Ovis aries: one gene and its partners. The protein of the gene in region 3 interacts with the protein of the main gene of each other region in a pairwise test. Links are inferred from orthologs where the notes say so. Each region holds a gene or a part of one and is shown on either strand. Other genes may lie near its edges.

Evidence for each region.
Region 1: the proteins of CEP70 (region 3) and A-kinase anchor protein 17A interact in binary tests that used the Homo sapiens proteins (3 or more experiments, as listed by UniProt). The two-hybrid records come from large-scale screens. The link is inferred for Ovis aries from reciprocal best matches to the Homo sapiens genes CEP70 and AKAP17A.
Region 2: the proteins of CEP70 (region 3) and SYTL5 interact in binary tests that used the Homo sapiens proteins (3 or more experiments, as listed by UniProt). The two-hybrid records come from large-scale screens. The link is inferred for Ovis aries from reciprocal best matches to the Homo sapiens genes CEP70 and SYTL5.
Region 4: the proteins of CEP70 (region 3) and NOL12 interact in binary tests that used the Homo sapiens proteins (3 or more experiments, as listed by UniProt). The two-hybrid records come from large-scale screens. The link is inferred for Ovis aries from reciprocal best matches to the Homo sapiens genes CEP70 and NOL12.
Region 5: the proteins of CEP70 (region 3) and SUV39H2 interact in a two-hybrid assay, tested with the Homo sapiens proteins (2 studies listed by BioGRID and IntAct). The link is inferred for Ovis aries from reciprocal best matches to the Homo sapiens genes CEP70 and SUV39H2.
Region 6: the proteins of CEP70 (region 3) and RBM10 interact in binary tests that used the Homo sapiens proteins (3 or more experiments, as listed by UniProt). The two-hybrid records come from large-scale screens. The link is inferred for Ovis aries from reciprocal best matches to the Homo sapiens genes CEP70 and RBM10.
Region 7: the proteins of CEP70 (region 3) and TSGA10IP interact in binary tests that used the Homo sapiens proteins (3 or more experiments, as listed by UniProt). The two-hybrid records come from large-scale screens. The link is inferred for Ovis aries from reciprocal best matches to the Homo sapiens genes CEP70 and TSGA10IP.

Annotation. Positions count from the first base shown.
Region 1 is NC_082741.1:868,717-872,773, reverse strand, and holds the start of A-kinase anchor protein 17A, read right to left. Parts: upstream 2,801-4,057; 5' UTR 1,938-2,800; coding exon 1,804-1,937; intron 1,176-1,803; coding exon 398-1,175; intron 1-397. UniProt on the Homo sapiens protein: Splice factor regulating alternative splice site selection for certain mRNA precursors. Mediates regulation of pre-mRNA splicing in a PKA-dependent manner.
Region 2 is NC_056080.1:37,494,805-37,498,304, reverse strand, and holds part of SYTL5 (synaptotagmin-like protein 5), read right to left. Parts: intron 2,406-3,500; coding exon 2,276-2,405; intron 153-2,275; coding exon 46-152; intron 1-45. UniProt on the Homo sapiens protein: May act as Rab effector protein and play a role in vesicle trafficking. Binds phospholipids.
Region 3 is NC_056054.1:251,191,455-251,194,954, reverse strand, and holds part of CEP70 (centrosomal protein of 70 kDa), read right to left. Parts: intron 688-3,500; coding exon 597-687; intron 478-596; coding exon 354-477; exon of another isoform or gene 322-353; intron 35-321; coding exon 1-34.
Region 4 is NC_056056.1:215,348,992-215,353,287, reverse strand, and holds the start of NOL12 (nucleolar protein 12), read right to left. Parts: upstream 2,801-4,296; 5' UTR 2,730-2,800; coding exon 2,647-2,729; intron 2,542-2,646; exon of another isoform or gene 1,446-2,541; coding exon of another isoform or gene 1,429-1,445; intron 1,322-1,428; coding exon 1,216-1,321; intron 961-1,215; coding exon 912-960; intron 398-911; coding exon 255-397; intron 1-254. UniProt on the Homo sapiens protein: Multifunctional RNA binding protein that plays a role in RNA metabolism and DNA maintenance. Participates in the resolution of DNA stress and the maintenance of genome integrity by localizing to sites of DNA insults.
Region 5 is NC_056066.1:28,871,417-28,875,449, reverse strand, and holds the start of SUV39H2 (histone-lysine N-methyltransferase SUV39H2), read right to left. Parts: upstream 2,801-4,033; 5' UTR 2,588-2,800; coding exon 2,497-2,587; intron 677-2,496; coding exon 531-676; intron 1-530. UniProt on the Homo sapiens protein: Histone methyltransferase that specifically trimethylates 'Lys-9' of histone H3 using monomethylated H3 'Lys-9' as substrate.
Region 6 is NC_056080.1:57,639,396-57,642,895, reverse strand, and holds part of RBM10 (RNA-binding protein 10), read left to right. Parts: intron 1-983; coding exon 984-1,070; intron 1,071-3,143; coding exon 3,144-3,204; intron 3,205-3,343; coding exon 3,344-3,500. UniProt on the Homo sapiens protein: Binds to ssRNA containing the consensus sequence 5'-AGGUAA-3'. May be involved in post-transcriptional processing, most probably in mRNA splicing. Binds to RNA homopolymers, with a preference for poly(G) and poly(U) and little for poly(A).
Region 7 is NC_056074.1:40,492,642-40,496,141, reverse strand, and holds part of TSGA10IP (testis-specific protein 10-interacting protein), read right to left. Parts: intron 1,465-3,500; coding exon 1,365-1,464; intron 1,166-1,364; coding exon 1,041-1,165; intron 562-1,040; coding exon of another isoform or gene 438-561; exon of another isoform or gene 411-437; intron 308-410; coding exon 175-307; 3' UTR 1-174.

The DNA of each region.
Region 1 (4,057 bases), on a different chromosome or scaffold from region 3:
CCCCACCCCTTCCAGGACGGCCCCTTCTGCCGGAAACACCAGGGCCTCCGGAGGCCAGCCCTGCATGCAAGAGCTTGACTCCTTCCCCCTCCTGCGGTGGGCGCCCCCCGCCCTCCGCAGCCAGCTGCCTTCACCACCCAGCGCCCGGGCACAGCTCGCGCCCCGAGGGCCCCGGCTCCTCCGCCAGCCTGACGTGGGGAGCCAGCACGAGCCAGAGTCCGCGGCGATGATGGACAGCGCCCTCATTTCAAGGGCGGCTGCGAGCGTGTTCCACTTCTCCCCACGTTTCCTGAGACACAGAGTGCGCTCACCGCGTGGGGGGCCCAGGCAGCCCTCCCCATGTCGGAGGCCCTTCGGGGCGCAGCCCGCCGCCCCGCCTCCCCCCCACCCCCCGCACCTTGATGTTGCAGGCCACAGCCTTGCCGTCCTCGCCCTTGAACATGAGCTTCATGCCGCGCAGCGCGCTCATGGCCTGGATGAAGCCGGCGTACTCGCGGTACTGCACGTAGGCCTCGAAGTTGAGGTGGCCGCCGAAGCTGAAGGTGTGGAAGTTGCGGCCCGTCATCTCCTCGCGGTAGGGGTCCAGCATGGGGATGTCCACGTTGCGGATCTCGCCGAAGCGCTCGAACACGCGCACCAGCACCTCCTCGCTCGGCTTCTCCGAGCCCGACTCCTTCAGCGAGAACCACTTGCAGGGCAGCCCCTCCAGGTGGATGGTGTCCGGCCGCTCGCCCGGCAGCGTCTCGTTCATGTCCTTGGCGTCGCGGAAGAAGGAGTCCCAGTCGTGGCGCGTGGGGAAGTCGACCTTGAACTCCGCGGCGCGCACCTTGAGGATGTCGGAGAAGCCGCTCAGCTTGATGGTCTTGCCGTCCAGGCAGGCCAGGAAGGACTTGACGAGGCTCTTGTTCTCCACCTCGCCCTCGAAGCGGATGAAGTCCATGGTGCTCTTGGAGATGCGCAGCGTGGAGAACTGGTGGTGCTGCACCATGCCCTTGAGCCGCTCCATCACCTCCCAGTTGGAGATGGACTTGCCCGGCTGCTTCAGCTGCGGCAGCGCCACGCTGATGGTCATCTTCGTGATGGGCTTCAGGTACAGGCCGTGCAGCGGGCACAGCTCCACCGCCTCAGACGTGTCGTGCACGATGGTGGCCGCAGCCATAGCCGGGACCTTGGGCCTGAAACACAAGACGCGCACGCCGCGCGTTCACGGCCGGCCCGCTGCCCCGCCCCCAGGCTGGCCAGCACGCGGCCCGGGGCACGGAGGCCCGTCTGCCCTCCGCGTGCCCGACACACTAGTCGCTACGTCAGGGAAGGCCCCTCGGCCCCTCAGGGTTAGTCGCTCAGTCGTGTCAGACTCTCTGTGACCCCGCGGACGGTAGCCGACCAGGCTCCCCTGCTCCTGAAATTCTCCAGGCAAGAATACTGGAGTGGGTTGCCCTTCCCTTCTCCAGGAGGGGGGGTCTTTCCCACCCAGGGATCAAACCTGGGTGTCCTGCATTGCAGGCAGATGCTTTACTGTCTGAACCACCAGGGAAACCCCAGCCCCTGACATGTGGGCCCTTTTAATCAGATTACACAAATGCAGGGGAAAAAAATTTGGGTTTTCAAAACTTTTAGGAACACTTGCTTGCCCCAAGCCTCCATGGGCACTGAGCTGCCCCCAATACTCAGAGGCATCTCCACCAGGGCTGGGCTGGCAGGAGCCCAGATGGGCAGGGTCCCTGCCCTCGGGATGTGGGGGACAGGCCACCTCCATGGAGGCTGCAGACGTCTCACTGGGGAAGGGACGACCCACACAAGCACCTGGGAAGGTCTGTGCCGGAGGAAGCCCGCGGAAACAGGAAGGAACTTTCAGGCTGAGAGAATGGTTGAAGACCGTTGACTTCAGTATCTCTACCGCAGGCAGAAGCATTTTCTCTGTGTCCAGATAAAACCATCAAAGCCGCGGGGCCTCTGGGAAGCCGCGGACGGGGAGCTGACTGTGCTCTCCTCCCCCTCAACCAGCTTCTCCCTACCGGTCAGACAGGTGCCTACTTCCGCAAAGCAGGGCCAGACCTGACCCACGGACAGCAAACAGTAATGGAGGGGGCCTTGGGCTGTGTGCCCGCGCACCAGATGGCTCTGAGAGCTTCTGACCAGGCCTGGGTTCAATCCCTGGGGCGGGAAGATCCCCTGGAGGAGGGCATGGCAACCCACTCCAGTATTCTTGCCTGGAGAAAGCCACGGACAGAGGAGCCTGGTGGGCTATAGTCCACAGGGTCACAGAGAGCCACGACTGAACAGCTCAGCACACACACACACCCAGACCCAGGAGAAGCTGCAGGGACGGGGGTGGAGGGGTCCCAGCTGGAGGGAAGAGCCACCTGGCCCAGGTCTGGGGCACCAGGGAGGGGGCTCAGCCTGGGCTGAGAGTGGCGACAGCCCCCCTCCACCCGCAGAAAACCTCCAGACCTCAGAGAGAACTTGAGTCAGAGACTCCGGAAGCCCACTGCCTACTAGGAACCCTGGGGATTCCCATATTCCCTGGTCGCCCAGCTGCCCCTGCACCCTGGGGATGACCCCCAGCCCCTTCGCTGCACCCCTGTCAACACACCCCTGGCAGCCCCTCACGATCCCCATCGCCTCCACCCCTCCAAATGCTCACCCCACTGGCCCAACTCCCGCCTTCTCTCTCCCCAGCCGCCTCTGTGGCCCCCGGTTACCCCCTCCAACCTCCAGTAACCCCTAACTTCACTCCCCGTCCCAGTACAGCCTGCTTACCTCTTACCCTGGTGGACCCCGATTCGCCTGCAGGGACCCTGTCCACCCCCCGCCCCAACCCCGCAGCTCCCTGGAGACCTCCCCTCCTCTGCTCAATCGCCGTTGTCCCCTCTCCCAAATCCTCTCCCAGAAGACGCCCCCCACTCTCCGCACCCCGGGGAGACCCCCGCAGCCCCCAGCTGTCCGTCACCCCAAGCCCCTCAAAGGCTTTCGACCCCCAAAGCCCACACCCCCAAGTCCCCCAGACCCCTGCTCCCAAGTCTGCAGGTCCAGGACACCCGTGCCCCGGCCGTCCCGGGAGACCCCCGCATCCCCCAGCCCCCGGTCATCCCCAAGCCCCTCAAAGGCTCTCGACCCCCGAAGCCCCTGCCCCCAAGTCAGCAGTCCCACGAGACCCCGTGCCCCGGTCGCCCCGAGAGACCGCTGCAGACCCCAGCCCGCGGCACTCCGTCACCCTCAGGCCCTCAAAGGCTTTCGACCCCCAAAGCCGCGCCCCCAAGTCCCCAGGCCCCCCGCTCCCAAGTCCGCAGGCCCAAGAGACCCCCGCAGCCCCCGGCCGCCGGTTCTCCGTCACCCCCAGACCCCCCGCCCCCAGGCCCCTCGAAGGCTCTCGACCCCCGAAGCCCGCAGGCCCAGGAGAGCCGCGCCCCGGCCGCCCGCCCCGCGAGGCCGCCCTCCCCGGCCCCCCGACGCCCCGGGGTCCCCGGCGCCCGGCGGGCGGGGCCCCGTCCACGTACCAGGCCGCCGCCGCCCTGGCCCCAGCGCTCCCGCGGGCCCCCGACGACGCCGGCAGGCCCGGCCTCCCCGCCCGGCGCCGCCACCGTCCGCCGGAGGCGCCCCCGACGCGACCCGCTGCCGCCGCCTCGGCCGCCGCCGCCGCCCGCCCCTGTGACGCATTTCCGCTTCCGCCGCTCGGGCCCGCGGAAGCAGGCCGCGCGGCGGGCCCGGGTTTCTCCTCCTGGCCATGGCCCCGCCCCCCAAGAGGCGGGACTTCCGGGGCGGCGGTGGGTGGGGCCGGCCGGCCCGGGCTTCGCGGTGCGCGTGCGCGAGCCCGCCGCGCCCTTCCCCCACCCCGCCCCGCCCCGCCCCGCCCCCAACCCTGCCACCTGTTTTCAGGTCCAGGCAGAGGCCTCACCTTGGGGCCCCAGGGTGAAGACACCGGACTCGGGACTCAGGCCGGCTGTGTGGGGCACACTGCTGTTACAGTCATGCGTCGCACATGAGATATCGTTATGAACTATGACAAGTGTATATTTATTAATTACTGATTTTATTCCGTATGAGTATGGATTGCTTG
Region 2 (3,500 bases), on a different chromosome or scaffold from region 3:
GCCCTTTCTTCATGACCATTAGATACTCTTCCATATCCAACTTACCAAGTCTTTGTCCAAAGCCCCAGGGACAGATTTGCTCCTTATGCTTATAGTATCCTCTAAGTCTTCTGTAAATGACCCACTCAAATCTAACTCAGATCGACTCCGGTCTGCAGGAAGGAAAGGGGAAGAAGGGAATCATCTTGTTTTGTTAGAAGGGTTCACTTCTCATTGCAAATGTTTCATTGTTATTCCAATTCTTTCTAGGGATAAGGCATAGATAGTGTCATGAAAACAATAGTCAGAAAGTTCATACTGTTTATGCTATGCTACCATTTATTAACAGTATTTTGAAATTTTCTTGGACTGACTTACCAACACTGATCTGTACATTTCTCCTTTGAGCATAGGAAGGCAAATGTTCTACTACTATAACATGATCAATTTGTAAGCTATTTAAGAATTTTGCTGTGCTCAAAAACCTTGGCAAACTCTCAAAGAATGGGCCATTAAGCTTAGAAAAAAATATAACATTAAGTATTCCTTATTTATTAGAGAATCTATTGTCTATTCCATGGAGAGGAGCCTAGTGGGCTACAGCCCATGGGATCGCAGAGAGTCAGACATGACTGGGCATGCACACATACATTGTGCTTTTATATTTGACATAAAATGCAATGAAATGATACAAGTTCTTTTCACACAAAAATGGAGTAGCTATAGGGAAATTGAAAGGAACTTCTATTTCTTTGCACACCAGAACATTCTTTCATCAGCAGAATTTCTTGCTTTTAAACATATAAAGAAAAATGCAAAACTCAGTAATGCTGTGGATAGCTTATCAACAGTTTATTTCCATAAAAGATTTCTATGTCAAAACCCTGCTGAGAGAGAATACTTGCTTATAAATGAGAAAGACTGAAGAGAGCAACTGATTAAGACTGAAATGATAAATGAAATAGCACAGAACTGCTTAGCATAGCACCAGACACAGAGTATGTACTCAATCCACAGGAGCTACTGAGTACTATTAAGAGGAGAAATGAAGGGGCTTCTCAAATGGCTCAGCAGTAAAGAAGCCGCCTGCCAATGCAGGAGACACAGGAGACATGGGTTCAGTCCCTGGGTCGAGAAGATCCTCTGGAGGAGGAAATAGCAACCCACTCCAATATTCTTGCCTGGGAAATCCCATGGACAGACGAGCCTGGCCAGCTAGAGCTCATGAGGTTGCCAAGAGTCGGACACAACTGAACAACTAAGTATGAGCACGAGTAGTAGAAATACGCTCCATGAGGTTGGCTTCTAGGCTAGTTTAAAATTATTCATTGAACTAGAGAACCAATTTTCTAGTCCTAAACAAAATGCAGTAATAGCCATGCACATTTAGCCAACTCTTTGGGAGCAACTTGTCTTGGAGAGACACCTCCAACTCAGCACAGAGAATCCAGCCTTAGGCTTTATGTTAGGATTAGCATTAGATAACTGATTTCTTCCTTCTGGGGGTCTTGTCATGATTTCAAATCTACACAGGGGACATAAAGTTCCTAATTATAACATATGTCTCTGAAGAGTTTCCTTATTCAAAGGTAATAAAATTATACCATAAAATAATATTTGTTTCACAGGGGTTGTGATGCTAAAGTGAAACAATATTTTTGAAGGGATCATACAAATGAAAGGGGTTATTAATAATCCTTTAATGCTGCTTGCAAAGAAGGCCTTATTTAAACCATGGAATAATGATTCATCTGTCTAGATACAGGGCACTTCTGACCAATGTGTCAATGGAACTACCATTTCCTTGAATTCTGGGCAAGTGTCTTTATCTTTTGTATTAAATGAAACAATCATATTTCCTGAACTCCTCTACTGACTTCTCAGCTCTGTCACTCAGTCATGTCTGGCTCTTTAAGACCCCATGGACTGTAGCCCACCAGGTTCCTGTGTCCAGGGGATTTCCCAGGCAAGATTACTGGAGTGGATTGCCATTTCCTCCTCTAGGGATCGAACCCGTGTCTCCTGCCTTGGCAAGTAGATTCTTCACCATTGCACTATCTGGGAAGCCCCATGACTGCATACTCTTATCAAATTCAAAATTCACAGATTTTGCAAGGGGCTCAAGTTATCACATGGGTCCATGTTTCAACAGTTCTTACAGAGTGGGCAGAATACCATGGGTCAAAGAGTGGATGATTATTTTCAAAGGCATGAAACATACATTTAAGGCCCCACAAGGCAGTCACTTTCACCTGATTTAGTCATTTTCACAACAGAGCAGTCAGGTTGGAAATACCTGAGGAGAGGGAGGCCCGGGACACTGCTATGGATGGTGTGCTGGAAGGTTTTCGGCGATGAGTCTTTGTGAGGTCCTCAGAGGTGCTTTCAATGGCAGCCAAATCGGTGAAATTTTCAAAACCACGTTCCTTCTCACAAAGTAGAAATGGAAATATACATATAATATTGACTGTAATTGACTTCCAAATACTTCCATCTACCAGTATAACCATATCTATCTTACTCTTCAAGAGGAGCCAGTTGACACCTACAGAGCCCTCAACAGAAGTCCATAAGTCTAAAACCTACTATCAATACTCTCAAAAATACCTACCAAGAGTTTTGTTAACTAGCACAAAAGGTGTCTTAAATAATTATTTGTTCACAAAATTAGTGAATATTATAAGGTTATCAGTAAAGATGGTGTAAGAACCTCCACACTTACGTGAACTATGTATAAGAATACAGCAAGATTTACACCCGCAGAGTAGTACTCAGGGTTAGAACTCTTGCTTCCACGTTTGTCCTCATTCTCCACACCCTCTCTCCTCAACCATGCCTTACTTTCACCATGTCTCACTTAACATAAAAGCATGCCACCTTCCCCATCTCATAGGCTGGATGATCAGAATATGGTTGCTTACATCGTTATTTAAGGTTTTCATTATTTTATTAAATCTATTTATCTGGCTGTGTTGGGTCTTAATGGTGGCAACACAGGATCTTCAATATGGCACTCGGGCTCTCTAGTTGCGGTGTGTGGGCTTAGTTGCCACACTGCATGCAGAATGTTACTTCCCAGACCAGGGAGCAAACCCTCATTACCTGCAATGGAAGGTGTATTCGTAACCACTGGACCACCCAGGAAGCCCTCCTACATCATTATTGCAATAAAATTTCATGTAAGGCACTTATTAATGTTCATACAAGGATAAAGAATGGAGACTTCCCTGCTTATAGAAATAGGTTTGTTTTTTTTTTTAAATTGGGTATTTACTTGCTTATAGATGCTTGTTCATGTAATGGTATTCAGTCTAACATTTTATGTTTTCTCTTTTTAAAATTCTTTTATTGAAGTATAGTTGGCTTACAATGTTGTGAAAATCTCTGCTATACAGCAAAGTGACTCAGTTACACAATATATACATTCTTATTTACATTCTTTTCTATTATGGTTTATCACAGGATAGTGAACATAGTTACCTATGCTATATAGTAGGATCTTCTTGTTTATCCATTCTAAC
Region 3 (3,500 bases):
TGCTGCTCGGCTTTGCTGTTGCTGAAGTTCATTTCTAGTAACAGACACACAATTCCTTCTCTTAGTAATAGAAACAAATCATATCAACCAACATATTCATCTAACAACATAACAACTTTCTAAAATTTTTTTGCATTCTTAAAATTTCTATAACACAAACCAACAGAGGAAACATAGGGTATCATTATATATCGAAACTATTACCAAATGATTTACCTGCTAAAAATATTTTTTACTTAATATTTAGTCAATGGAAAATTAAATTCCAAGATTATTTTTAAGCGAGTTATTTTTTTAAATGCATATAATTTGTTCACATACAATTCAAAACAGATTTTTTTCCATTTTCTTACTTAAGCTGTTTATTAGTTTCTATGAGCTCCTGGATCATGTTCTGTTGACGTGATGTTTCCTCCATCATTGTTTTTAAATTCTCCCTCATGGTCTGTGATGACTGTTTGTCAAAAATGATGAGATCTACATTTTTTTGAAATGTAATACACATAGTAAAAATGAAGATAAGAAAAAAATTAATATTGAAAATTTTTAACAAAAAAAGCCTTTTATCTTAAGGAGCAAGAATATAATTTGATTACCTTTCATATCTGTTCTTTTGACTAGAGATAAAGGCTTTAAGCCATGCATCATCAGCAGCACATTCATGTTTTCCCATTCTGCTTCCTCCCGCTACAATTACAAGGAGACAGAGGGATCAACTTTAAGATATAGGGTGAAGAAATGCCCTCTTATAAATAATTTCCTTTATTTTCAGAACAACAGACTTTTTCTCCAAAATCTTTAATATGAATTTTTATACACACATAATGATTAAAATTAAAACAGATTTATTTCTAACAAAATTAGACTAAAAAGGATGCAAATAAGCACGGATACTTACATTATATCTGGAATTACATAATTCCAGAACACATATATAGGTCTTAATGAGTAAATTAAAAGCCTAATAATTTCAGTGAATTAAACAGACCTTAAGTTTCTTATTTAACTGAACTTTTTATTTAGGGTTTTTTATTTAACTGTCACCTTAACAATGACCAGGGTCACAACAAAATCAAACATATCTGACTGGAAGAGCCAATAACTTAGGTAGTTCCTTGTATAATGGACAAGGTCTAACTATGAAAAGGAGTCTGTCCATCTAGGTGACTGATTATAGTAAAAATATTCTGAAAGACACTCCTAAGTTTTGTATCCCTGATTTGAAATATGTATTTACCCTGAGAAGGGAACTCTCTCCAAATTAAAAAAAGAATAAAATCTAACTATAAATAAAAACAATGGGGAAGAAAAGAACATAAAATACAGTAAGAACAGAAACAGATATTTTTAAAATGACATTTAAATTCATGATATTAACATCAATAACAGGTTCTTAAGTACAATGATCAATTTTAAAATCAAGTGTGTGAGATACTTTGCATTCTTTTTAAAAGACCTTAAATATCTTATATAACGTAAGTATATTTGTAAAAAGGTGATTTGAGTAAATTTTCAATTTATTTAAATGCTTGAAAAGTATCTACTCTATTTTATTAGTGAATAGCAAGTAAATATTATAATAATGTTAATACTAATAATTTGGAGAATTTTTCCCCTCCCTCTCTCCTAGAAAATTTTTAAAAGTTCAAATAAAAGTATTACTCTTCATATCAATGGAGAAGGAAATGGCAACCCACTCCAGTGTTCTTGCCTAGAGAATTCCATGGACAGAGGAGCCTGGTAGGCTACTTTGCAGTCCATGGGGTTGCAAAGAGTCAGGCATGACTGAACAGCTATCACACTCACATTCAAATTCCCCTCAGACATTAAAAAATATACCAAAATAGATAAGCAACAAGGATATACTGTATAGCCAGAGAATTATAACTATTATCTTATAATAACTTTTAATGGAATAAAATCTGTAAAACTATTGATTCACTGTTACACACCTGAAGTTAATACTGTAAATCAACTATACTTCAATTTTAAAAAACCTATCACGACAAAAACCAAATTGTTCTGATGACTCTTTCGTAGGATTATGGCTCACAATACCAAACAAAATTTTCCTTTTGACTGCTGACTTTTTTCTGTTTCATCCTTTCTGTAACTCTCCCCACCCTGACCATTTTTTCCCCTTATTTTTGTCTTCTGGTCACAAAGATTAAAGAAACAGAACTAAAACTGTTGCTAGAATCTGTTTTGGGAGCCAAAAGCTCTGTGTGGGTATATAAGTGGAAACCTACTGCTGCTGCTAAGTTGCTTCAGTCATGTCCAACTCTGTGCGACCCCACAGATGGCAGCCCACTAGGCTCCTCTGTCCCTGAGATTCTCCAGGCAAGAACACTGGAGTGGATTGCCATTTCCTTCTCCAAACCTACTATGACTCATTAAAAAAAATGCTCTATAGAAAAAGTCACACATTTTGAATGACCAAATTATACAAATACTGTTCCCTGATAACTTTTTAAACATTTTTTTTTAATGTGGACCATTTTTAAGTCTTTATTGAATTTGTTTCAATATTGCTTCTGTTTATGCTTTGGTTTTTGGCCAAGAGGCACATAGGATCTTAGCTCTCTGATCACGGATTGAACACACACCCTACGCACTGGGAGGCAGTCTCAACCACTTGACTGCCATGAAGTCCTAATAACTCTTTTAAGAGAAAGAAGAACATCAGTTCAGTTGCTCAGTCGTGTCTGACTCTTTGTGACCCCATGGACTGCCACACCACAGGCATCCCTGTCCATCCCCAATTCCCAAAGTTTACCCAAACTCATGTCCTTTGAGTCGGTGATGCCATGCAACCATCTCATCCTCTGTTGTCTGCTTCTCCTCCTGCCCTCAATCATTCCCAGCATCAGGATCTTTTCCAGTGACTCAGTTCTTCACATCAGGTGGCCAAAGTTTTGGAGTTTCAGCTTCAGCATCAGTCCTTCCAATGAACACCCAAGACTGATCTTAGTCTTCTCCAATACCACAGTTCAAAAGCATCAATTCTTTGGCACTCAGCTTTCCTTATGGTCCAACTCTCACATCTATACATGACTACTGGAAAAACCAGTGTTGACTAGATGGGCCTTTGCTGCCAAAGTAAAGTCTCTGCTTTTGAATATGCTATCTAGGTTGGTCATAACTTTTCTTCCAAGGAGCAAGCCTCTTTTAATTTCATGGCTTCAGTCACCATCTGCAGTGATTTTGGAGGCCCCCCCAAAAGTCTGCCACTATTCCCCCATCTATTTCCCATGAAGTGATGGGATCAGATGCCATGATCTTAGTTTTCTAAATGTTGAGTTTTAAGCCAACTTTTTCACTCTCCTCTTTCACTTTCATCAAGAGACTCTTTAGCTCCTCTTCACTTTATGCCGTAACAGTGGTGTCACCTGCATATCTGAGGTTCTTGATATTTCTCCTGGCAATCTTGATTCCAGCTTACGCTTCATCCAGCCCAGTATTTCACATTATGTACTCTGCATATAAGTTAAATAAGCAGA
Region 4 (4,296 bases), on a different chromosome or scaffold from region 3:
TCAAAGGAAGAAGCAGGCGAGGCAGAGAAACCTGCCCAAGCTTCCACAGCTGCTCGTGGTAGAGCTGACCTCTGAAGCCCCAGGGTTCAGGGCTTTGGTCCAGGCCCTGGAGGGTTACCCAGAGGAAAGAGCCCCTTGTACTGGAATCCTTGACATGGACCAGCCCCTTGACATGGACCAGCGCTTACTGACTCGCTTGATAAGCCAGGCTGACCCTGTGTCCCTTCTTCCCCCAGGCTAGGAGGGAGCCCCACCTCAGGCGTGGGCAGGCCGAGCAGCCGGGCCCCTGAGAGGTCCAGGTCGCTGATGGTGGTCACGGTGACTGTGTGGTTGGGGTGGTCGTACTGCACCGACTCCGTCTTTGCTGTCACCAGCCGGTCTAGCTCATCAGCCTCCTCTGTGCAGGGTGGGTACAGGACCAGGCCTCAGCCCCAGGACACAAGCAAGCAGGCTCCGGCACACACCCCACCCCTGACTCCATCCCTGGAATGTAACGGCCCCCTCTACTCTATAGAGTGGCACCCGGAAGTCACTGGCTCCAGAGTCTGGCCAGCAGACAAGTGCTGGAAATGACCCAACTCCTCCCTTCATGCTCCAGGGATACCCCAGACCACCTGGTCCCCACCTGGACCCCAGGAGCTGCTGCCACCCTCAGTCCCTCCAGGCCTCAGAAACTGGACTTTCTGCTCAGGATCCGTTTGCCAAGAGGTCTGGGTCTCCTCCTGGTCTCTGATTGACTGACATTTAGAGGTACCTGAGGACACCCCTGGCTCCTAGGGCACCACCAAGATCCCTGAAGCTAGGGATGTCAGCTTCTCTGCAGTCTTGTACCCCTTCCTGTCCACCCACCAAGGGATAAATAAACTCAACCGACTGGCTATTCTCCAGGTCAGGTCAAGGACTGGACTTACCCAGAGCCTCCTCTCTCTCTGCCAGCATCTTCAAGTATTCCTGGTGGCGCTGAAACCGAAGGGAAGGCAATATGATGAACATGGCCTCTCAACCCAGACACTGCTCCCCTCCAGGATGAGTAAGACCATGGCTTGGAGGGAAAGATCAAGGGATCTTACCCTGAACCTTCCCCACACCTGGACCACGGCATCTCTATCTGCATAAACTGCACCCCAGGCCTGCCTGCCCCCTCCCCTCAGCCCCTCAGCGAGGCTGCAGGGCCCCTGGGAGTCAGAGACACTTTCCTGCCCTCTCCCTCTGCACCTCTTCCCGGAGCTTCTTCTGTTCCTCCTTCAGCCGCTGCTTGATCTCCTCAATGGCTGCCTTCTTCCGCTCCACCTTCCTCTTGTGGAAGCCTGTCAGGTACTCCCTATAGCAAAGAGAGACAATCAGGACACAAGGAAAGAAGGGCTCACTCCAGGAAGGGGACGGGGGTGGGGGGGGGGGGCGCAGCAGGGAAGCTAATACTGCACTCACCATGTGCTAAGCACCATTCCAAAAATGTAAACGTATTAACTCATGTAATCTTAACAACATGCACACTGGGTGGTTACTGTTGTTCAGTTGCTCATTCACGTCTGACTCTTTGTGACCCCATGGACTGCAGCATGCCCTGTCCTTCACTATCTCCTGGAGTCTGCTCACATTCAGATCCATTGAGTCGATGATGTTACCCAACCATCTCATCCTCTGTCACCCCCTTTTCCTCCTGTCCTCAATCAGATACCCATTCCCAATTCACAGATGGGAGACAATGAGGCAGAGAAAGGTAAGATGACTTGCCCACGGGGGTCAGAGAGTGTAAGGTTAGGGAAAGAGAGGGAGGTGCTGCCTCTCTCCCCACTCGACACTCTCCTGGGCTCTTAGTTGCCAGCAACAGGGGCAGGTGGTGGGCATAGGCTGAGAGCCTTTGAACCTAGAGCAGGTGAGGGTCCCTTCTTCACTGGCAAACTCTATTCCTCAGTGAATTAGGCCGCTTCAAGTGGGGCTTTCAAGGCCACCCTCACCCAGACCTCCACAAACTGTCCATTGGATCAACACCCATTTCCCCAGGACTCTGCCCCTCGACTCGTCTGTAGGTCCTGTTGATGCCTCCCTGAGTTTCCTGATGATGCCCCAGCACTTCCTTCCCCCACGCTCCATCTTATCTCAGGCCCTCTCATCTTCCTTAGATCCGGCCGCACCATTCCTATCTGTTATGGGGCCCAACACCAGGCTTTTCGCTGACCCACTACCATAGGTCCAGGTGGCACTCTGAGTGGGGCTAGACCAGACGCTAAGGCTTAGAGGACCGACTCAAAGGTCCGGAGGCCTTTGTTTCATTCGCTAATTACTCATCCAAAACAGCTGAGTCTACTGTGAGTCCATGGGATCGCAGAGTCCGACAGGACTGAGAGACTGAACACCACCAACTGCAAGCGAGACCGCCAGGTTGGGGAGGGTGAAGCCCGCTCTCGGGCCGAGCACACAGCATCACAAGGCGGCCTGGGGAGCAGAAAAGCGACGCGAGGGCGGGGCGGACGATTCCATCCCTCCGGGCTGGGGGGCCCAGAGCCGCGGCTTCCACCCGCCAGGGCTCCGCACTACGCCGAGAGGGCGGGACCGGAAGGGCCTTCCGCGTGAGCGTATGCGGACAGACCCGGCCTCGGCCTTGCCCGGCGGCCCGAACGGGATCCGCTCAGCCTTGGCACTCACCGCCGCTTCTCCTCGTCGAAGCTCAGGATGAGCCGCTGCCGCCTGTCGTCGCCATCTCGCTTCTTCTTCTTGTTGCGGCCCATAGCAGGAACGCTTCGGCGGCGAGGATTCCGCGCACCAAAGACACTTCCGGTTGTAGGACGGCCAGCCTCCCGGAAGTGCTCCGCAGCGACGCTCGGCCGTTCCGCTCGCCGGACCCCGCCTTTTAAAGGGGCCGCCCTGCGTTCCTCCCGTCCCTCTCTTCTTGTATAACAGGCGGGATCTCTGCCCCCGCCCCTACGTTCCCCACTCCCCGCAGCTGAACAACAGGGTGATGAACAACTGTCTCTCTGGCCCTGCACTGCCGCTAGTGGCCATGCCGCTTGCCATCCTTGGCACCCTACTGGGTAGAAGCATTGCCTTGGCTGCAGTGGTGCGCCCCGCCTTACCCCCAGCAAGATGCCCGGCGACAGGCCTTCCGTGGAGGCTCAGAGAGGGGAAGTAACTTAAAGTCAGCTCGTTCTCAAGTGGTGTGCAGCGTCACCCCCGATTGCTGCCCTGTGTGTGGAGTGCTTCTGCCCTCTTAGAACGTCCGGTCAGGTGCAGAGACTGGAACCGAGTAAGAAGACAGCTAGATCTCTGTGCAGTCGGCCCTCGCAGCCCACCCAGTTGGAGCTGCCAGCCCACGAGGGGCTCAGGGAGGCCACATCTGCGAAAGTTCCCAGCGCAGAGTGAAGCACGCCACCTCGGGCAGGTGCCATTGTTCCAAACTCTTCCCTGGGAGTTCCAGGTCCCCTTTACTCCAGGGAAATAGATGTGGGACTGGCAACCCCACCCAGACTCCAAAAGCTTGAGAGCCCTTTGCTGCAGTTAGCTCACAGTCTAACACACTTCCCTTTTGGATCACTTTCTCCTTGTAATTATTTTTATGTTCATTGAGCATATTTTTATGTTCAGGCGCAGCAAGAGATGGCACATTTTCTTAATAGAAATGCTGATGAAGGTGATAAGCCAAAGAATTAACAGCAGCTGCCATTTAGTTCTTTGCACGATTATCTTTTTTTTTTTTCTGGCTGTGCCACATAGCATGTGGGATCTTTAGCCCTCCAACCCGAGATGGAATCCATGTCCCCTAGAGTGAAAGTGTGGAGTCTTAACCACTGGACCGCCACGGTCCCTAAATGATTATCTTTTTTGAGATATGAGTCCCATTATAATGAGGCTCAGTGAGGTGTGGTCACTTACCCAAGGTCACACAGACAAGAAGAGCAGGTGCTGAGGGTAGAGCCCTGTCATCTAAAGACAGAACTCTACTTATTGTTTCTCTGGACCCAGTTTCATAGGCCCTTGGGACACACGGGGTCTGAAAAGAGGTGAAGGGAACCAATGTTTACAGAGCCCCTACTTTGTGCTAGGCACAATGCAGTTCTCCTCATTATCTCAGCTAATCCTTGCAACAGTCACACTAGGTGGATACTAGTATTAATGCAATTTGATAGGCGAGGAAACAGGTTCAGAGAGGTTATGTAACTGGTCCAAGGGCACGTAGTGATGGAACTGGGGGTTGAACATAGGTCTATCTGACTCCAAGCCCAGTTTCTTTCCTCCACAGTCAGTGATCTCTCTCCTAATCTGCCCCAGGAGCTTTCCTCCGCCTGGTTGTAGTCCCAG
Region 5 (4,033 bases), on a different chromosome or scaffold from region 3:
ACTTTTCTGGAGTCACAAGGTACTAGACAAAGGCTAGAAATGACTGAACTCCAGGCTGTTCTACTGCACAACAAAACCTCATTGCTATCTGGAGTTTGACAGGACGGCAGGAAATACAAATGGTGATGCTTCTTGAGATTTGGTAACATTAAAATTGGCTTGAATTTCTAGGTTCATCTCAGGTGACTGATAGTGGGGAAATATGATTCAGGAACAAAACGAATGACGGGAGAAGCCAATCTGAGCTAAAACATTTGCTCTGGTAATCCACATGGAGATAATCAAGAGTTGGATGTAGAATGACATAGGCACCTTGAAATATTTGAATGTAAGAACATTTTATGCTTCAAAATCCTTTCAATGTTAGTTGGCAAACAGATGACAGGACATATAAATTTATCATGGCTAAGAATTGTAACCATTAAGAAGAGCTTTGCTTACTTTTAGGGTTATTTTTATGTTACAGAAACATGAAATACTAAAGGGAGGTCTGATTAGGTCTTTTTTAAGGGTCTAGATATTTGCCTTACCTTTACTACCTTGTAGTCACACAAGTATTCCACCTCATAATTGTTTAGATTCCTTTTGGTGATTCCAATCGATTTACATGTGAGCTTTTCTTTTCTACATAATTCCTGAAGAGTATCAAGTGAAACTAGGCAAGGCACACACCAAGCTACAATAAGAAAATAGAATTCTTTACTAATGAAATAGCTACTCCATTAAAATAAAATAAAACAAAAAATCTTGACTTCTATATCCCCACCCTTCAACTGGCAATTTTATAAGACTAAAAATTCAAGAAACCATTTACATGTCTAAGAAAATTTAACCACTGAAGAACTATTTTGGTAAATATTTCTTCCTGGATTTTCTCACGCGTCTCTGCCCTACTATATCAATTTCCACTAGGCCACCTGAACAAAATGTTTCATGTCTATAAGCTTTCATAAGATTACACACAGATAGGCTGAGATAGTATTTTTAACTTTTTCATTGTATTCTATATAGAATTGCTGTTTTAGTCAAATGTAGACATCAAGCACAAAATTATTAAAGATACATCTTAAATATATTTTAAAATAATCTTACATTGTTAAAAAGTAATTTTCCCTTTCTTTTTGTCCAGCAATAAGAACTGTAATCTAATTCTATAGTTATATACTGGTGACATCATATGATCCACTTGTCCTATTTGGGAAGGTTGTATGAAATTTTAACTTCAATTCTGCTCATGCAGCAATGTAGTTTAGCAAGGTAAATTAACCCAAGAGCTACAATAAAATAATGAAGAGTATACTGAGTTTTGTAATACTCACTTCCTGTATTGTTTTCAAAGCCAAGGATGACAATACAGAGTATTCAATTTACACCAAGCCTGAAGAAAATTAGATACACTCATCATCAACCTTCTAGAAGCCAGTAACAGTGCTGTGGAAGAGTCTACCCTCAAATTCCTGTTAAGAGTATGCCACCACACTGCATTAAAAATAGGTTAACACAGGGTGGTGATAACAGCAGCTAAGACACCAAGCTCCCAATACAGGGGCTCAGATTCAGTCCTGGTCAGGGAACTAGATCCCATATGCAGCATCTAAGATAAAAGATATGGTGTACCTCCAACTAAGACCTGGCACAGCCAAATTAAGTAAATAAATATTTTTTTAAAATAGGTTAACACAAACTGACATTTAGAAACATAGAATAAACTTGGCTTTCCGGCTAGTGCCACGAGAAGCACCAGAGAGGATCAAGGGTCCTCTGTTCCAGGCCCCGCGAGGCCCCCTAGCTACATGACTGTAGGGAGGTTTCCATCTTTCTGGGTTTCAGCTTCACTGAAAAAAATGTGAGGGCTGGAGTAAACTGGGAGTAAACCAAACAAAACCCGTCAGTAAACGCACGCTTTACTTGGCAGCTCTCCAAGGTAGTTGTGATAACCTTTTGGGTTTGGAGGTAATTTTCCAGAAAGAGAGAAGAGCTGTTCCTAGTATACTCGTTCCTCGCCCTCCCAAACTCACCCAGGGGTCTCATGGTCAGAAAACCTGAAATATGATTTCCAGCCGCTCCACCCCCCAAAAAAGAACTCAGTTCTAGATCAAGAAAGTGAAATGTATTTTCCCCTAAAAATTTTGAGGGGTGTTTTGGGGGTAGGGGAGTAGTGGAAATACAAACCACCCCTTATATCCATCCCTTCCATTTAAAAAGCCTCAGGATGTTTTGTGTAGAGTTAACCTCGTTATGCTCATCACCTGGACTTTCTACCGAAGGTGTATCTGTCTGCTGTTCCTACCAATTTCACTTAGTGCAAGTAACAGAAGAATTCAAGACGCAACCCTCCACGGAAATGCTAGTTTTGAGAGTAAAACTTGGAACACACGACACCGCAACCCCCCTGGTAACCAATCTGACTATCTCTAATAAAGTAGAAAGAGAATTCATTGGTAAGAATAAACATTTCATGACCACCACAAAAACTTGACACTAGTTCACACTAACCCCTAGCGGAGGAAAAGTTGGGCGATAATGAGTCCATAATCCATGCGGAGAGGCGCAGTGCTGGAAAACACCTTTCCGTTTCAGAAGGCATTGAAAGTTCCAGTCTTGGAGCGCACGCACAAACACACGTTCAGCACCGAATTCTTTGGCGACCACAGAAACAGAACGCAAGTTCCCTCCCGGCGGGGATGACGATTCCCGTGAGCCAGGGGCTAACGCCTCCAGTACCCACTTAGTGGGACTTCCTCCAAAGGCGAACCGGTCCTCCCCGTGCGTCCCAATCGGGGTACATCCTCACTCATCTATTTTCTTAGCCTTCACACCTCTCTTAGCCCCGACCTCTCTCTGCTCCTCCGACACTGAGGTCACACCCACACCACCGGGATCCTCCCGCTCCCAGTTCCAAAGCTAGCCCGACTGCAAACGTCCCGCTCAAACCATCACAAAGGAGTCGCGCCCCCCTCGTGTCCACGGACCTCGAGGCGCGCAAGGATCCGCCGTCGCCACCCGGGTGCCCCCAAACAGCGGTCGGGAGGGGTGGGGTTTCTGGGCCGGCCGGCGGCGGGGACTGGGCCGCCGGGTCCGTGGGACGGCAGCGGAGGGCGCGGGCCGAGCCTCGCAAGGGCCGGGCGCGGGAAGCGACTGCGGGCAGCGGGCGGGCCGAGCCGCGAGGAGGGTCAGGGGCCGGGGGCAGGGAGGAGCCCGCGGCGCGCGTCTCGGGGCCGCAGTGTCAGTCGCGCGGAAGGCGATGTCTCGCCGCGTCGCTCTGCGGCCGGCCCGCGCGTTCCGGCCCGGCTTCCCGGGCTTCGGGAGTTTGCCCGGCGGACAGGGGACAGTGCGGGGCGCCGCTCTCCAGCCCTCACCTCCTGGCGCCTCGGCCCCGGCCGCCGCCATCTTGAGGAGCTTTCATTCAAACTGGCGCGGTCTGACGGGATAGCTCCGCTGGCCCAACGCCCCGCCTCCGCACAGCCCGCGCGGAACGCGGGAGCCCGGGCGGGGGCCTAGAACCCGCGAGGCGTCCTGACGTCAGCGGCGGCCGTCCCAGCCGCGGCGGCGAATGCGCCTGCGCCTGCGCCCCAAGTCTTTCGCGGGGACCGCGCGGACGGGGGCGGGGCAAGCGGTCGGAATCTGGGAGCGCTCGCTTAGGTGAGCGGCCACCAGCACTGGCTTGGCTGGCTGAGCGCTTAGTTCAGGGAGCGGGCATCAGTCAGGCTTTCCTACAGTAATTATGTTTTCTGCCTGGGTGCTGGGTGTGCAATGTGCAGAATTCCAAGCGCAGTGTATGTTCCCACCCCCCCTCCGTCATAATTGTTCCTCAGCCACCTGAGCCCGACAAACCCTTGTTTCCTTCTAGACTCTGCCTCTAGATCACACGTTCCCAAAATTGGCTGTACATTGGGACCCCTTGGAGGTTTTGTTTTTGTTTCACTCTCGGAGATTCAATAGGAATGGGGTGTAACGGAAACGTTGGAATTTTTAAAGCTCCCCAGGTGATTCTCAGTGTGCAATTTGAAACCACTGGTCTAGATCAGTGCTT
Region 6 (3,500 bases), on a different chromosome or scaffold from region 3:
CTCAGGCACCACTGCAAGTCCAGCCGCTGGGGAAACTTAGTTGTTGGCATTACTAATTAGCAAGTCCTGTTTTGCCAGCTCTCTCCCTGTGAGCTTGGCCCTGTGATTTCCATAGGACAGGCCAGCAGGATTCTATTGACCTAAAGTACCAGTCAGGGGTCATAGTTTCATTCACCAGGACTCACTTTGGTGCCCCACCCCTCCCACTGCACCTGGCCTGCCCAGGAGTCTCCACTGGGGACAGGCCTGCCCTCCCAGCAAGGAGTCTTGCTGTCCGGAAGGGAGGGGAGCTCACTCCCCCAGCCTGGCATGGGCTCCTAACCCAACAGCTTTGGGACCTTCAGAGACCCAAAGCTTCTGCTCACCCACCCAGAGCCCAGCTGACTGCTATGGGGCACTGTGCCTCGGGCCGGGGGAAGGGGAATGGGGCAATATGGCGGCCCTGGGGCCATCTCTGCTGGTCCACAGGCTAGTGGGCCCAAGGACCCAGCTGGCCACGGGAAGACAGCTTCACTGCAGGACCGTCCATCTTTTAAATATGGCTCTTTCTTTCTCCCCTTCTCCAGCACTAGCGCGCGTGCGCTCTCTCTCTCTTTCTCTCCCCTCCTCTCCCTCCCCTCCCTGTCCCCTTCATCCCAAGTGTAGCCTGTGTAGTGCTGGCCCTGGGTGTGGCCTGGCAGTGTTAGGGCTGAGTGGGGGTTTGCCGCACTGTCCGGCAAGCTTCGGGCAGCCGAGCACTGTATGCCTGGTGGAGTGTGTTCACGTGTGCGTGCCCGGAAAGGCAGCAAACAGCTGCGCCCGAGGGCTGTGGCTCTTTCCCTCCCTCCTTCCCTTCCTTCTTCCCTTGTCAGTTCTCCGACCTCCCTCCGTTCCCTGTCCCTCATCCATCCAGCTGAAGGGCTCGCTCACTCTCTTCTCCTGTGCTGAAACGGTGCGTGGGGCACTGCTGCCCAGGCCTCACTGTGCTCTGCTTTTCCCCGCAGCACTCCCTCAACATCCTGGGCCAGAAGGTATCCATGCACTACAGCGACCCCAAGCCCAAGATCAATGAGGACTGGCTGTGTAATAAGGTACAGGGGCAGTGGGCAGCAAGTGCCATGGATTGAGACAGCCGCGGCAGGGGTGGCAACATGTCTGTCTCCCTGGGGCCTCTGAGTGGTGCGGGCATGGAGGAACTGGCCCAGCTCCGGCAGCACCGCTCATTGCCTCCCCCACGACTCCCCTCCTCGTCCACCCAGCCAGCTGCCAATTCATACTGAGCTTTCACTCAGTGCCAGGCTCTGCCCTCATGCAGCACGATATTGCCTGAGGCCCCAATAGATGTCACATAGACGTTTATGTGAGTGACTAGTGACGGTGAAGCATAACATGGTGTATGAAAAGTGGGCATCAGGGCCAGACTGGCTGAAATTAGACTCCCTCAAAATCCCCCTTGAGGTCAGAGTATTAACCTCTCTTTGCCTCACTCTCCCCATCTCGAAAACACAAATACTAAATACCCAGAGGTGGTCAGAAGGATTGAAATGCAGTGATGAGAGGGTAGCACTTGGAACAGCACCTGTCAGCTGCTGTCCTAAATAATGTGTAGGGTGTTCTGAGAGCTTGTGTCAGATGACCCAACCCCTGACAGAGCCAGGTCCACAGAGACTGACTGTACAAGCTGTAGGTCTTTGCGCTCATGTTCCCTGGGAGGAGGCTGAGGCTCAGAGAGATGGAACCTCGAGCTGCGTCTTATTCCTAATCATAGGCTATGGGTGCCACCGTGGGTTCGGGTCCCCCCTTAGGCCAACCTCACCTTCTGCAGCCGGCTGACAGCCCTGAGACCTAAGTCCTGAGAGCTTGCAGGGGCCCCCAAGCCTCTCCCCAAGAAGAACTCTGCCCAGTAAAGTGGGGGAGGGGGGCCTCTTTGTTTGAAAATGAAAAGAGTAATACCAGAAGGCAGATGTCCAGCCTCTCTGGAGAGAGTGACAGGAGGACTCACTCCATCTCTCCTGTATTTTCAGATGCTCCTTAAAACTAGGGCAGTCTGTTCTTTCCTCTCCTTTATCTACCACATCCTATTGCTCTCTGGTCTTGTCACGTCCATCACACAAACACCTTCCATTGCCATTCTCACTGTGCAGGCTGGTCCTCACCCCTCCTCCAGACAGTCACCATGGGCCCCTCTCTGGTTTTCTGGCCTCTTGCCTGTCTCCCACTCCCTCACCTTTGGCATTCCTCACACCCACTTCTGACCATGTCCCTCCAACTCTGCCAAAAACCTGCACATATCTGAACGTGAGTGTGACGCTCCTCTGGGATTTAATGTCACCTTCTCTAGCCTTGGCTTTTGCCTTTCTCTCCACCCTCCTACACCAGCTACACAAAATGTCTTGTGTCCTCTGCTAGCAAGTGCTTCCCAGCAAAACCAAACCTCTGGGCCTCCCAGGTGAAACAGCCATGCGGACTATACCCAGCTGAGTAAGCTGGGCCTCAAGGCCCACTCCTCTCCTGGAGTCCCTGGTGGTGACCATTTCCAGACTGACCTGCTGCACCTCTGTGCTACATCCGCTCCCTACTGTTAGGCCGCATGCTGCGGAGAGCCTGGCATGGGAACAGTGCTCAGGACTTGACCGCGGATCAGAGACCGAAATGTGGTGAAAACTGGGGGTCTCCAGAGGCTGCAATGCCCAAGGCAGATTTATTTCTCAAGAGTGGCAAGATCCAACCTCGAGATGAAGGGGTGAGGCCTGGCAGGAGAGGGGCTACTGACTTTTTAAGGATAGAAAAGTGATGAAGGTTTCTGAGAAGGAAAGTACGTTCTGGGAAGAGGAACCTACTAAAAGGACTTTGGAGGCGGAAACGTCTCTGAGCTGGTCCCTTGGAGGAGACAGCAGTTGGTAACAGAGGTAGGGGGTGGGTTACGGACTCCTGAGTTGAGGGGTGGGCGCTGAGGAGAAATTTGAAACCATGTAAAGAGTCGTGTGTCTGAGAATGACAGCCATTCCCCAAAGCCCTTTGCTCCCCCCTCCCCTGACCCTGGGACCTTCCTGGGGCATGGTGGGATCCCTGGAAGATTTCTGGATCCACATTTGGAGGGTGCAATGGAAAGCCCCCACCCCCCACCCCCTGCTGCCTCTGACAGCCTGGCCTGTGCCTCACAGTGTGGCGTCCAGAACTTCAAACGCCGTGAGAAGTGCTTCAAATGTGGGGTGCCCAAGTCAGGTACGGCCTTCCTACCTCCCTCTTCCTTGGGACATTGTGGGGAGAGGGGCGAAGGGTGAAGGTCACAGCTCTGGAAGGAGGGTGACCTGCCTGGGAGCGCCTTCCAGTTTGTCACCAGTCTCTCTCCTGATGCCCCTAGCAGAGGCGGAGCAGAAGCTGCCCCTGGGCGCGAGGTTGGATCAGCAGACGCTGCCGCTGGGGGGTCGGGAGCTAAGCCAGGGCCTGCTGCCCCTGCCACAGCCCTACCAGGCCCAGGGAGTGCTGGCCTCCCAGGCCCTGTCACAGGGCTCGGAGCC
Region 7 (3,500 bases), on a different chromosome or scaffold from region 3:
ACTGTTAACTTGTAGTTAAAAGCTCAGTTCACACAATTCCTCCTGACACCCCCACTTGCCAGTTGCTCGATCTGCCAGCCCATCTGTTAGGGTGTGATTATGCGCCCTTTTAAAGGCCCGCCCCCTCCCCCACAGGACTGGGCGTTCCCAAAGGCGGAAGGCATTCTGTCCTGTTCACTCTTGAATTTCCAGGACCCAGCATTGGTAGGAGTTGCAGCTGTTGCTCTTGGGAGATGCCCCACTCGCTCCTCTGGGCAGAGACACAGCCGTGTGTGCTGGGCGGGGGCCGTCGCAACAGCCAGGGTTCCTGGGGGATGTGAGCACAAGCCAAGCGTGCTGCATACCCACCTGCCACGGCCTGCTCCCAACCCACAGCCACTTCCCACCACCGCCAGAAATCCCACACCGTGTTTTCCACAAAGCATTTAATTTTTATCTCAGGGACTCAACTCTTGGTCTGGATTTGGGGCGAAGTGCTGGTCAGCCTGGCTGCCAGTGTGTTCCATCTTTGGGGGGCTCTGAGAAGAGGGCTCCATTCTCGCCCCCACTGACCTGTGGCCCCTTAAAGATGAAGACACAAGTAGAGACCACTGGGCTCTGCAACTCCCCACCCCCATAACCAAGGAGACCTGGGCTGTAGGAGGGGCAAGGCCTTCATCACCAATGTCAGTGGTTTCAAATGTGGCTCTTACACTCTGAGACCCTGAGTGGGAGACTACCCCCGCCCCCGAAGCCTGATAACCTCTGCTCTGCACCAGGTTGTTCTGAAGTGTAAGCGTTCTGTGGGGAAATAACCTTGGCCCTGCCTTCCTCAGGTGACATGGAGGACAGGGCCCGGGGACGGCCCTGCTGACTGCGAAAGCTAGACTGAGTCCTCCCGGCCAGGGAGTGGACAGGGCAGGATGGAAGTCTAAATTCAGGGTGGACCCATGTGGCTGCGGGGGAGGCCCCTTAGCCTTTCCCCGGGGCAGGCGGCAGCTGAGACCCCGCGGGGCAGGGTACTGGTGGCCGTGCCCTATCTCCCCACAGCTGGGCCTCACCTGTGCTTCCTGGGGGCGCCCTCCGTGTCCCCTTTGCCCGCCTCGGCCAGCAGCTGCTCCTCATCCAGTCCCAGCGCCGACAGCACCTGGGAGAAGCGCCGGGTCACGTTGAGCCGGGCGTTGGCCTGAGGAGAAAGCAGAGGGACCCCCTCTCTCACCTGGGCTGCCCCGAGGACACCGTGAGACTCTGATTCCAGGGGGTCCCAGGGCTTTTCAAGGGTCCAAACTGAGGGGGCCCCTCCCGCCTCATCTCCCTACCCTCTCGGCCGGTGAGAAGCTCTGCTCTCCAGGGAGCCCACACGCTTGCCCACGTGCCAGCCTCACCTGCATGGCCTGCTGGAACAGGTAGGGCCGGGCCTGCACCCGGTGCTGGATGCCTTGCAGCTCTGCCTGGTACTCAACAAAGCGCTGTCGCTCCTGGCGCCTGAGGGGAGACGGGCCTCTGGGCAGCTGACCATCGACTCACGCCATCCCCACTCATGAGCCCTCACTAAGGACTTCCTGTTTGTCCTCCAGCCCTTAGCTTTACAAAGTCATTTCATTTCTGTCTTCAGCTGGGATTCCCCCTGACGTGAATGGAGTGAGAATCATCTGCCGCCATTTTGTCCATGACATGCCTGAGGCTCAGGAGGGCCGAGGGACTTGAGGTTGCACAGTCGGGAAGTGAGGGACTGGGCACGGAGCCTGGGTCTGCAGACAACGCCAGGCTCGCCTATCCTCCCAGCCATCCCCGAGGAAGAGGGGCCAGCACTGGCTTCTGAGCGGCTGGACGTCTGCGTGCACAGCCCTGCCTTCCCCGTGCCCACCCCTGCACCCTCTCTGCCTGTGAGAAGCTGTGACTGTTGGCTGTGGCTTTGGGCAAGATCACGCTCTGGACCCTGGGTTCAGTTTTCTTCTCTGTACTATAGCCAGTATGGGACAAGCTTGCCAGCATTCTCTGTGCTGCTTGTAAGCCAATAGTTTAGAAAATGGGACAGTGGAACTAAAGGAATGTATTGCAAATGAAGAATTGATGCTTTTGAACTGTGGTGCTAGGGAAGACTCTTGAGAGTCCCTTGGACAGCAAAGAGATCAAACCAGTCAATCCGAAAGGAAGTGAACCCTGAATATTCACTGGAAGGACTGATGCTGAAGCTGAAGCTCCAATACTTTGGCCACCTGATGCGAACTGGAAAAGACTCTGATGTTGGGGAAGATTGAGGGCAGGAGGGGGAGGGAACAACAGAGGATGAGATGATTGGATGGCATCACCCTCTCAATGGATATGAGTTTGAGCAAACTCTGGAAGATAGTGAAGGACAAACGAGCCTGGCGTGCTGCAGTCCATGAGGTTGCAAAGAGTCGGACACAACTTAGTGACTGAAAACAACAACAAACTGCAAGGGAAAGAACACATCCCAGAAAGATCCAGATTCCACCGGAGAAGCACGATCCCACTTACAAAAACCCACTTGGTGCACTTGTCAGAAATCTGTCGCTCTACAAGCTGCAAGTCCTGGCCGTGAGAAGGGTCCTCTGACCACATCACACGTGGGACCAGGCATCCTTCTGCCAAGCACACGAGAGAGGCTGAGGGTTGTGGCGGCAGTACTCAGAGACAGGACAGGAGGGGAGAGGCACACAAGACTCTGAGCCTCTGGTGGGAACCTTCAGTAAATGTGCAGGGCCCCATGGGAAAGCACACTGGCTTGCTGGGCCAGGACCCTTGGCTATGCGCCAGGTAAAGAAACTTCCTCCATTCAAGAAAAAGATGGACTTGAAAACCATGACCGGGAACAGAAGTCACTGTGAAGAAGAGTCTTCATCATTTAAGGGGGGATTTTACAGCAGTTTCAAGGAGCAGGGGTGGGGGAAGGCTGAGCTATATCTCTGTCTTGCCCATGATGTCACGTGCGTTTTTCCTGTGCGGTTCTTGGGGCTATTTCTGTTAGAATTGAGAGGAAGCCCATGTCTGGGAGCTCTAAGTGAGAAAGGAAGTCGTGTCAGTGGGTTTTCGCCCTGTCTATTATCTCAGAATAAAAGGAAGGTTCGGAGCCTCCCCACCACAGGGCAGTGCCTTTTGTGCCCTCCCTCCTAGGAAGAGCAGAATCTTGCATGCAGCCCAGAGCTAAGGCCAAGACACCGAGACACCCCCCAGGGGAAATATCTGCTCCCAAGTAGAAAATGAAGGGATTGTGTTTGGAAGACTCCTCTCACTGACACGTGCCACTGGAGTCGGAGCCTTCTGCTTCCTACCTTGTGAGAAAAAAAAAAAAGAAGTGAACTTGAAGTCCAGCAGGGAGAAGGTATCTCTTGGTTCACTGATCAAGGATCCCTCATTGGCAAAGTTGGGGGTGATATGGCTGAGCCTCAAAGAGTAGGTGATCGGAGCCCCACTGGATCCTCAGTGGCCCCATCTCAGGGCAGGAACCCCCTGGTCTCTCAGCAGTACCCCACTCCCCTTGACCTAGTGCTTCTCCC